Danio rerio: one gene and its partners. The protein of the gene in region 1 binds, or shares a complex with, the protein of each later gene. Links are inferred from orthologs where the notes say so. Each region holds a gene or a part of one and is shown in the gene's direction. Other genes may lie near its edges.

Region 1 (3,665 bases):
TCATCGATGGGCGTGTCCGTGGCGGCCTCGCAAACTTTGACGATTCGCCACAAAAGAGGAAGTCGTTATAACTCAGGCATGCATTATCCGATCTGCCTCAAAATTCACACGCTTGATAAGCGTCCTGACCTGAATACGTTTACATGCCAATATCCAGATATAGTTATAGCGCCACCTGCTGGCAACAGGAAATGACATGATTTACGGAGTTACAAACTCCTCCCACAAATTTTATCGTATCAACACCAAAATTGAGTGGTGTTATCTGAAAGCTCTAGCGATGATATATTGTGAAGATTTAGAGTTTTCGCAGAGGGGCGTGTCCATGGCGGTATGACAAACCTCAACGCTTCGCCATGGAACAGGAAGTCCTTATAACACAACCACACAATGTCCGATCAGCCTGAAACTTCACATGGTTGATAAACGTCATCTCTTGAACACATCCACATAACAATATTGAAGTGGGCGTGGCAAAATGACTTGACAGCGCCACCTAGAAAAATTAAACGGACGAGCCCCCGATCTACGAATCACGCACATGCACAAAAATTGGCACACACCTCAAACATGGCAAAAAATATGAAAAAGTCTCTTGGAGCCATATCTCAAACCCAACAGGAAGTCGGATATTTTTAACTTCCTGTGGCGAAAAAGTGGCGCTTTTGCCATTTTCAGACGTTGTATTTTAACGAACTCCTCCTAGGGATTTTATCTGATAAACACCAAAATTGGGTTTTGTCATCTTAAAGCCTTGGTGATGTTAAATTGCGAAGCTTTAGAGTTTTCATCGATGGGCGTGTCCGTGGCGGCCTCGCAAACTTTAATGATTCGCCACAAAACAGGAAGTCTTTATAACTCTGGCATGCAATATTCGATCTGCCTCAAAATTCACACATTTAATAACAGTCCTGACCTGATCAGGTTTACGTGCCGATATCCAGATATAGTTATAGCTCCACCTGCTGGCCACAGGAAATAACATGTTTGACACTGTAACAAACTCCTCCCACAAACTTTCCCGTATCAGCATCAAAATAGAGTGGTGTCATCTGAAAGCTCTAGCGATGATATATTGTAAAGATCTAGAGTTTTTGCAGAGGGGCGTGTCTGTGGTGGCATGACAAACCTCAACGCTTCGCCATGGAACAGGAATTTCTTATAACTCAACCACACAATGTCTGATCTGCCTGAAACTTCACATGATTGATAAAAGTCCTCTCCTGAACACATCTACATAACAATACTGAGTCAGTCATAGCGCCACCTGCTGGCAGAATGTAGTTTGTCTTAAAACACAATCTCCACACAATCTCAGATCTGCCTGAAACTTCACATGGTTGATAAAAGTCCGCTCCTGAACACATCCACATAACAATATTGAGTCAGTCATAACGCCACCTGCTGGCAGAAGGTAGTTTGGCTTATAACTCAGCCACACAATGTCCCATGTGCCTGAAACTTCACATGGTTGATAATATTCCTCTCCGGAAGACATCTACATGCCAATCTTAAGTCACAGTTATAGCGCCACCTGCTGACAGGAGGAAGTTTGGCATAAATCTGTGATTTTCTTAGATTTTTTTTTATATATCGGCTTAAATTATTATTGTTCGCTGTTCTCTGTCATCGTAAGGTCACCGGGCGGCGGTGAGCCCGGGTGCGAGGTCCCTTTCATCGCTGCTTGCAGCTTTAATTTTTTCTTGCTTTCCCTTATGCTTGGTTGTTTTCTGCACATGCTTTATGGGTGTGTCAGGCTATTTTTTTTTTTGATTCTGCATTTCATTTGTTCAACAGTTCGAGGTGTTATTCATAGACATATCTGTAAAGCCCTTAAAGCCGCATAATCTTTTTCTTAACATAAACATTTTTATTATAGCATGTACTAAAATTAGAAGTAATATAGTTATATATCTATACTTGTATACGGATTGCATGATATTAAAGGCTGTAGTAATGGCCGCTAAAATGTCACTATTTGCCAGTATTAATGCTTTACTGTATTTTTGTTTGTATACATGGAAAAACATCTCAGTTTCTCTCAATTTATTTTAGATTGATAATTAAATAAGGTGTGAATTTTTTTTATTTTACAACCAGTAAGCTTTCTCACAGACTCCTCTTCAGACCAAGAACAAAGATTTAAAATTATTTAATACAGAGTTTAACGATTAGGTGTAAATTTGCCCCTCCCTGAATTGTTTAAAATTTGTAATTAGTATTGTTTACATTTTTAGCGTTAATGTTATTTACTTTATTAAATTTTTACATTGTGTTTTGTTACTTTCTGTATTGTATAAAAAAGTGAAATAATTAGCAGTGAAAAATGTATCCCCTTTTATGCTGAAATACTGTATTTTGTCTGTTCGTTTATCGTTCTGTTTGTCCGTCTATGGTTTTGTCTGTTTGTCTATTGTTCTGTTTTTCGTTCTGTATGTCAGTCTTTTGTTTCGTCTGTCTTTCTATCGCTTTGTCTGTCTGTCCCTCTGTCCATCCTTCTTTCTGCAAGTCCCTCTATTGTTCTGTCTGTCCGTCTATCGTTTTGTCTGTTCCTCTATTGTTTTGTCTATCGTTTTGGTTGTCCGTCTATTATTTGGTCTGTCCGTCTATCGTTTTGTTTGTCCTTCACTCATTTTGTCTGTCCATCTATCATTTTGTCCATTCGTCTGTTGTTTTCTGTCCATCTGTCCGTTCGTCTATCCTTCTGGCCATCCGTCTGTCGTTCGTCTGTCCTTCTTTACATCCGTTTATCCTTCTGTCTGTCCGCCTGTTGTTGTCTATCTTGTCATCCGCCTATCGTTTTGTCTGTCCGTCTATTGTTTTCTGTCTGTCTATCGATCTCTCTGTTATTGTTCTTACTGTCCTTCTGTCCGTTTGTCTATCCTTCTGTCCGTCCGTCTATCCTTCTGTCTATCTTTCTGTCTGTCTGTCTATCTGTCCGTCTGTCTATCCTTCTGTCTGTCTATCCTTCTGTCTGTCCGTCTATCGTTCAATTTATTTTTCTATCCGTTTATCTGTAGTTCTATTAATTTTTTTTTTCAGAAAATGTCATTTGGTTAATTTTCATGCATGTAATCAGTAAAAAATGTACTGAAAAAAAAAAAAAAAAAACTAAATTATCACTATAATACAGAAACTTACCTTTAAAAAAACATTAAATGCTTTAATAGCTAATTTTATGTAAATATAAAAAAGTAAATTTAAGAAAAAATTGTTGTTTTACTGCCACTGAGGTGCTAAGGTATATTTCTGGTTTCATGTTTGTTTCAGTACACTCTGCCTAATATTTGATGTTTTAATCATTGTTTGTTTCTTGCAGAACCTACAGAGACTGAGAAAATGGACACAGACTCCGACTCCCAGCAGCCTGATAAGGTCAGATTCAGCTTTGCTGCCAGTAGCCAGATATGTCATGTGTTACGCTGTCCTGTTTACGGGTTGATTGCTATCAGATTTGTGCTTATCCTTTCCCAACTATCATTTTTGGGATTTATTGCAATGCACCTTCTGTACTTGTGCCCATGCTTCATTTGCATTTCCCCAGTCTCATGCTGTCTGACTGTCTTCTCGACATTCCCTGTCTCATCTGTTGCAGGCGGAGTCAAAGGATGAAGCAGAGAAACCCAGCGAGTCTGCAGAAAAGCCAGCCGAGACAGAGAAGGAAA
Region 2 (2,808 bases), on another chromosome or scaffold:
AAAATTGCATACATTGGAAAAAAAAAAAAAAAAAAAAAAAAAAAAAAAACAAATCAACCAACCAAACCAAACTAACCAACCAAACCAAACCAACCAACCAAACCAAACCAACCAACCAACCAAACCAAACCAACCAACCAAACCAAACCAACCAACCAACCAACCAAACCAAACCAACCAAACCAAACCAAACCAACCAACCAACCAACCAAACCAAACCAACCAAACCAAACCAAACCAACCAACCAACCAACCAACCAAACCAAACCAAACCAACCAAACCAAACCAACAACCCAACCAAACCAAAAAAAAAAAAAAAAAAAAAAAAAAAACAAATCAACCAACCAAACCAAACTAACCAACCAAACCAAACCAAACCCACCAAACCAACCAACTACCCAAACCAAACCAAACCAACCAACCAAACCAAACCAAACCAAACCAAACCAAACCAAACCAACCAAACCAACCAAACCAAACCAAACCAACAACCCAACCAAACCAAACCAAACCAACAACCCAACCAAACCAAACCAACCAAACCAAACCAAACCAAACCAAACCAACCAAACCAAACCAAACCAACCAACCAACCAAACCAAACCAACCAAACCAAACCAAACCAACAACCCAACCAAACCAAACCAAACCAACCAAACCAAACCAAACCAAACCAAAGCAAACCAACCAAATCAAACCAACCAAACAAACCAAACCAAACTAAAAACCCAACCAATAAACCAACCAAACCAAACCAACCAACCAAAGCAAACAACCCAACCAAACAGAATCGAACCAAACCAAACCAATCAACCAGCCAACAACCCAAGTCAACCAAACCACCAAACCAACTAAACCAACAACCCAACTCAACTAAACCAACCAACCAACGAAACCAAACCAAACAACTCAACCAAACCCAACCAACCAACCAACTAACCAACCAATCAACAACCCAGCCAAACTAAAACCAAACCAACCCGAACCAAACCAAATAACTAAACCAACTAACCAACCCAACTAAACTGACCAACCAACCAACCAACCAAACAACCAACCAAACAACCAACAAAACCAAACCAAATCAAGCCAAACCAACAACTCAATCCAACCCAACCAACCAATCAACCAAACCAAACCAATCAACCAACCAACCAACCAACCAGTTAACAACCCAGCAAAACCAAACCAACCAACCAACCAAACCAAACCAACAATCCTACCCAGCTAAACAGATCAACCAACCAACCAACGAAACCAAATAAAACCAAGCTAAACCAACAATTAAACCAATCAACCAAACCAATCAATCAACCAACCAAATAATACCAAACTAAACCAATAGTATCTGGATGCAGCCTTTATGATGCAAGCTGAGAGTGCATCACTCAGCGATGCAGTGTCAGACACAATGCACTCAATGGAGTGAGTGACGTCACTGTGACGGGTAGGGTTAGGGGTGGGGCTAGGAGAGCGCATTAAAAAGCATTTGCATCCAGACCCCTCTCAAATAAAGCAAACCAAACCAAGCCATGCCAAATCAACAAACCAAGTTAGTAATTAGTAGTGAGGGTGTTATCCAATCTTTAAAAAAATAAAGAATCTTAAGACACAATGAGATTATATTTCTAAAATTCTGCTGGTAAATTACTTAATATTTACTTTCCATTATAGCAACTGAAATCACATGTTGAGAGTCACAGATGAGGATTAAGAGAGAGAGTGTGTATGTAATGCTGATATGCGTGCTGTCTGTCTGTGTTCTCAGGGATTGTCCGGTAACACCATGCTGGGTGTCGGACACGTGGTCACCACCAGCATCGGCATGTGTGACATCGATATCAGACCGGTAGAACAGAACAAATAATCTCCAGTCATAAATGATGTGAAGTGCATTTTGTTAGTGTTTCATATTGATGTGTGTGTGTGTGTGTGTGTGTGTGTGTGTGTGTGTGTGTGTGTGTGTGTGTGTGTGTGTGTAGGGTCTGTACGGCAGTGTGATCGTGACAGGAGGAAACACACTTCTGCAGGGCTTCACAGAAAGACTCAACAGAGAACTGTCTCAAAAAGCACCACCGGTGAGCTCCTGATCTCTGTCTGATCACTGTCAGATCATAATCTCAGTCTGATCTCAATCTAAACTCAATCTGATCAATCAATCTGATCTCTGTTCAATTTGAATTTTATCTAATCTCTGTTTGACCTCAGTCGAAATTTGTTCTGATCATTGTCTGATCACAATTTGATCTTGATCTAAAGTCAATCTGATCACTGTTTGAACTCAATCTGACCTTCAATTTGAATTGAATATGATCTCTTTCTGATCTCACTATAAATGTATTCTTATCTTTCTGATCTCAATGTAAAGTTAATCTCATCTCTGTCTGATCACAATCTGATCTCAAACTAAACTCAATCCGATTTCTGTCTAAACTCAATCCGATTTCTGTCTAAACTCAATCTGATTTCGTTCTGAACTCAATCTAATCTAAGTTTGAACACATCTCAATCTAAAATCATACTGTCACTTTCTGATCTCAATCTCAAATAATCTGATATCTGTCTGATTACAATCTGAACTCAATCTGAATGCAATCTGGTCTCTGTCTGGTGTCAGAATTAATTCTGATCTCTTTCTGATTAAAATCCAAAATCAATCTGAACTCAGTTTGATCACATGATTTTTGTCTGATCCCTGCCTGATCAACATCTCAGTCCAATCTTAGTTTTGATTTTGAGTCTGATTGCTGCCTATTTTTAGTCTGGTCTCAATCTGATTTCTGTCTGATCACAATCTGACCCCAATC
Region 3 (4,143 bases), on another chromosome or scaffold:
TGTCGTGATACTGTGGCTTCAAAATGGTGCCACTGTAGTTTGTCAACGGTAGTATCGTCATTAATGGTTTAGCTACAATAGATAATGTTGCATGTCGTAGAGACACTAAAATGCTCACACGCTTGTGGAACAATAGACCATTTTATTTTAATAGTCTGTGGAGCCCTTTAAGGTTGCAAAACAGTAGAATTTGCGCCTTATATGGTAGCCTATTGCACGTTTTCTCACGCTTCAGCTCAAACGCACATCGAGTCATTTCTGTTCCTGTTAATATAATTTAGTAGCTACAACAACTGCAACAATCTCTTTAAAAACACATCTCACAAAGTGACGTTTTGAATTACTTTGGATTGTTACCTGAAACCCAAAATAGCAAATAGTAAAGAATTTTGGACCACTTCATATAGCCTAATTTAGTTGGAAAAAATGCACTTTTGTAACAAATTTCATTTGGTATCATTTGTATCTTTATATTAATGTATTCTTGTTGGTCAGTTTATCTACAAAATAAACCAAAAGAATGAATATATCTTAGTGAGGTGCAAATAATACTTTTTGGCTTTAAAGTAATTATGAATTTAATTCAAGTAGGCCTATTATAACATAAAATATAGTATTTTTGACAATTTTCTTTTATTTTTGACAATTTGACATATAAATTACAGTATCACAATACTACTTGGTATCGTGATTCTTCAGCTGGTATAGTATTGTAGGATTAATTATTCATTTGGTAACAACCATATGTATATATGAGAAAAACTGCTTTACCATAAAATCAATACATAAATTGGTGAAATAATTGTTATAAATGATGCAGAAAAGATTGATCAGGGTTCAGATATAAATATACTGTTTATAGTATATTTATAATATACTATACTATTTAGCCCAGGCACAAAACCCATCAGAAGTCAATGGAAAAAAATGTGTATTCAAATATACATGCATCTGACTAAACATAGCACACATGCAGAAAAATGCTGTGTAATAAAATAATAATGACCAATGACTACCCAAATCTGCTAATCTCAAAGATGAAATATACAACACAAGAACGAACGGCTTGATTTTGCTGCAATCACTCTGAAACTATTCCTCTGCGAATCAAAGAAGCTACCAACATGAGGCAACAAAAAATACTGACAGACAGTCCAGCAATCCAACCTTGAATTTACAGTAGATGTTTTGGCTTACCCACACAAAATCAAGGCGGGACTAGAATACAGTTAACCGCGGTGCATTGTGGTATTTGTAGCACGCGCGCCGACGAGTCCCGACTGCTTCAGGGAATAAAAACTACATTTCCCCGCACTGACCATCAGGCAGCCGCGCTCCCATTGGCTGACCGATCCAGCCGCAGCCCCAGAGAATGAATGAAATTGAAATTGCTGCTATATTACATGTACAATACCGGGGATCTGCAGTCTTACATTGTATCATTCTATATCAAAATGGCCACAGTGGTCCAAAATCCTCTGAAATCGTAAGTAAAAAATATTTCTATTTTGATGCTTTGACTAATGCATGCCATGCAACAAACAGCGCTCGCTCTTATTCACAAATATGCAAACACCTTTAAAAAGTATAAAATGCCGGCGAGGCTCAAACTACCAATGCATGTTGAAATGCAATAAATCATAATGCATGCGACGACATTTTGTCATCTGGGCAAATGTGGCACGTTGTAAAGTGCAGAGTCTCGGGTGTCATTTCTGCATATGCACAGTGATATGGAGGAATGTTGAGAATGTTGACCCGGCGTCCCTGCTCGGTATTGATCACTAGGAACTTACAGTTGTTGCTAATGGAATCGCAGAGTTCACTGGTCACCGACTCTCTGGACAAACGATGATGATGATGATGATGCTCGAACATTTTTTTGCACACGTATGCGATGCCAAATGAAATGAGCATGCAGAAGACAACACTGGCTGTCTAGCTGCATACTAGCCAATGTTACAATTTAACACAATGTGTTTTAATGGTTACATCGCACGCGTTGATAACGTAGATTGTAGAAATGACATTGTAAATACGAAACATCAATGCTAATCCTGAAACAAACACATGTTTTAGCGTGACATTTTAGTTGCGCGTAACATTTGCTATGTCTGGTGCGCCGTTGCATCAATGCACATTCCGTGAAGTTTCCATTAGATTCCTTTGTGCACACTGACACATTTTTTCGGCGTGCGGCACGCAGACGCCACACGGGCTCAGTGCCAAAAATTGCTTTACATTCATCTGTTAGAGACGGGGACCTTCCGAGTGAGGAGACGTGTTTGTATTTGGCAGGAATATGAGACTGTAGCTTCAATATCTCATAAAGGGGCATAGCACTTGTGCCGGGTTTCCTAACCTGAGAGGTTGTATCTCCCTCCGGTAACTACCACGACTGCCTACCTTGACCCAGCACGTCTCCACAACGTTGTATTTTGGTCACAATTGAGCTCAAAACACACTTTAAAATGTTACCCAAAGGTAAAATCGTGTGTCTAAATATGTTTAATATAGTAATACGGTATCTATGTATTAATTTATCTATGATATTTGGAAATTTTTGAAGACTGATTTGGTGATCCATGGTCACATGTAATTGACATTGTGGATTGCACATCTTGTTTTTGTTGGATTTATTGTAAAAATATATACCTGAAATAAAGATTTCGCTAACAGCTTAAATGGAATATGAATAATTTTGGCTATAGTGGAACATATTTGAGAAAGACTGTTGAATTAGTTAAATTGTACTATTATATATATGAAGACTCAAATACATGTCTAAAGTAAACTTAATTCTACACAACATCCTGTTTATAAGCTGATGTATTGATATATTTCTTTTTGAATCAGTGATGGGACGATTAACCCTGCATGCTGTAACTAATAAAGAGAAAGCAATGCTATAACTAGTAGTAGACTTGCGCTACAGAGCTGAGGAGCCTGTACACCTACACGTTACACAATTCATGTGACCCAAAGCTAAAATCGTATGTCTATACTATATGTATAATATATACACATGGTATCTATGTATGTATTTATCTATGGTTTTAGATTAACACAATAAATAAATTGATAATATTGTTGTATACACATCACATAAGCTTTTTTGCATGATGGTGTGAGAAAATGTGCATGCTTTGAAAACTAATAACAGTGCACAGGACAGGGTTCAAGATTTTAGGTACAGTAAATAAGACTTTACATAATGATAATAATCTGAGAATACTAGTGTAATGTAAATGAATAATGTGTTACTATAGTGTTATTCTAACGTGTTATTAATGTGTTATTATAGTGCTTTAGTTCAGGTTTGCACAGCTTCAAATTATGTTTGGCAACTTGAGCTTGACAGGAGTGCAGAAAATATTAGGCCTACAATAACATTACTGCTCTTGTGTCTTTGTGTAGAATTTTATGCTTACTTTATCCTGTCGTAAATACAGACATTCTGAATGCATGGTGGAAGCCATTGGCGTAACCAGTCCTGGGAGAGTTAGTGCTAGATGACATTAAATTGCCATCTGTAGTACCCAATGTACACTGTGTACAAACATGGTATTCTTTGAAGTGTATATATATATATATATATATATATATATATATATATATATATATATATATATATATATATATATATATATATATATATATATATATATATATATCCTATTAGGGCTGGGCAATATGGCAAAAATGCAATCTCAATAATTATTTTATATTTATCTTATATTACGATATAAGTTGTTTAGGCTTCCAGATTTAAAAGAATACCCCTAACAATTACTGAAGCCACAAAAATTTAAGGGTCCATTAAATGGCATAATATATTTTTGGCCGATATATTTTTAGTGTCCAAAAATCTTGTACATCTCAACACACTTTTAGATTTCCATTGTTGCACATTTTTGCAGTGTGATTGGCTCCTAGATCAATATAGAGTAAAAAAGTCCATAGTTTATCATGGTTATTGACATAAATGTTATCATGATTCAATATAATATTGTTTATTTGCCCAGCCCTATCAACAATTCAGTACATTTCTATTTGCAAAACACTTTTAGATTCCCATTGTTGCACATTTCTGCTGTGTGATTGGCTCTTAGATCAATATAAAGTAAAAAAAGTTCAGAGTTT

The links.
Region 2: smarcc1a (region 1) and actl6b share a complex: the UniProt entries of both Homo sapiens proteins name them as parts of the BAF complex. The link is inferred for Danio rerio from reciprocal best matches to the Homo sapiens genes SMARCC1 and ACTL6B.
Region 3: smarcc1a (region 1) and dpf1 share a complex: the UniProt entries of both Homo sapiens proteins name them as parts of the neuron-specific chromatin remodeling complex. The link is inferred for Danio rerio from reciprocal best matches to the Homo sapiens genes SMARCC1 and DPF1.

The regions. Positions count from the first base shown.
Region 1 is NC_133191.1:46,860,447-46,864,111, reverse strand, and holds part of smarcc1a (SWI/SNF complex subunit SMARCC1), read left to right. Parts: intron 1-3,319; coding exon 3,320-3,375; intron 3,376-3,595; coding exon 3,596-3,665. UniProt on the Homo sapiens protein: Involved in transcriptional activation and repression of select genes by chromatin remodeling (alteration of DNA-nucleosome topology).
Region 2 is NC_133198.1:48,242,904-48,245,711, reverse strand, and holds part of actl6b (actin-like protein 6B), read left to right. Parts: intron 1-1,769; coding exon 1,770-1,850; intron 1,851-1,983; coding exon 1,984-2,079; intron 2,080-2,808. UniProt on the Homo sapiens protein: Involved in transcriptional activation and repression of select genes by chromatin remodeling (alteration of DNA-nucleosome topology).
Region 3 is NC_133190.1:16,403,047-16,407,189, reverse strand, and holds the start of dpf1 (zinc finger protein neuro-d4), read left to right. Parts: upstream 1-1,298; 5' UTR 1,299-1,376; coding exon 1,377-1,486; intron 1,487-4,143. UniProt on the Homo sapiens protein: May have an important role in developing neurons by participating in regulation of cell survival, possibly as a neurospecific transcription factor. Belongs to the neuron-specific chromatin remodeling complex (nBAF complex).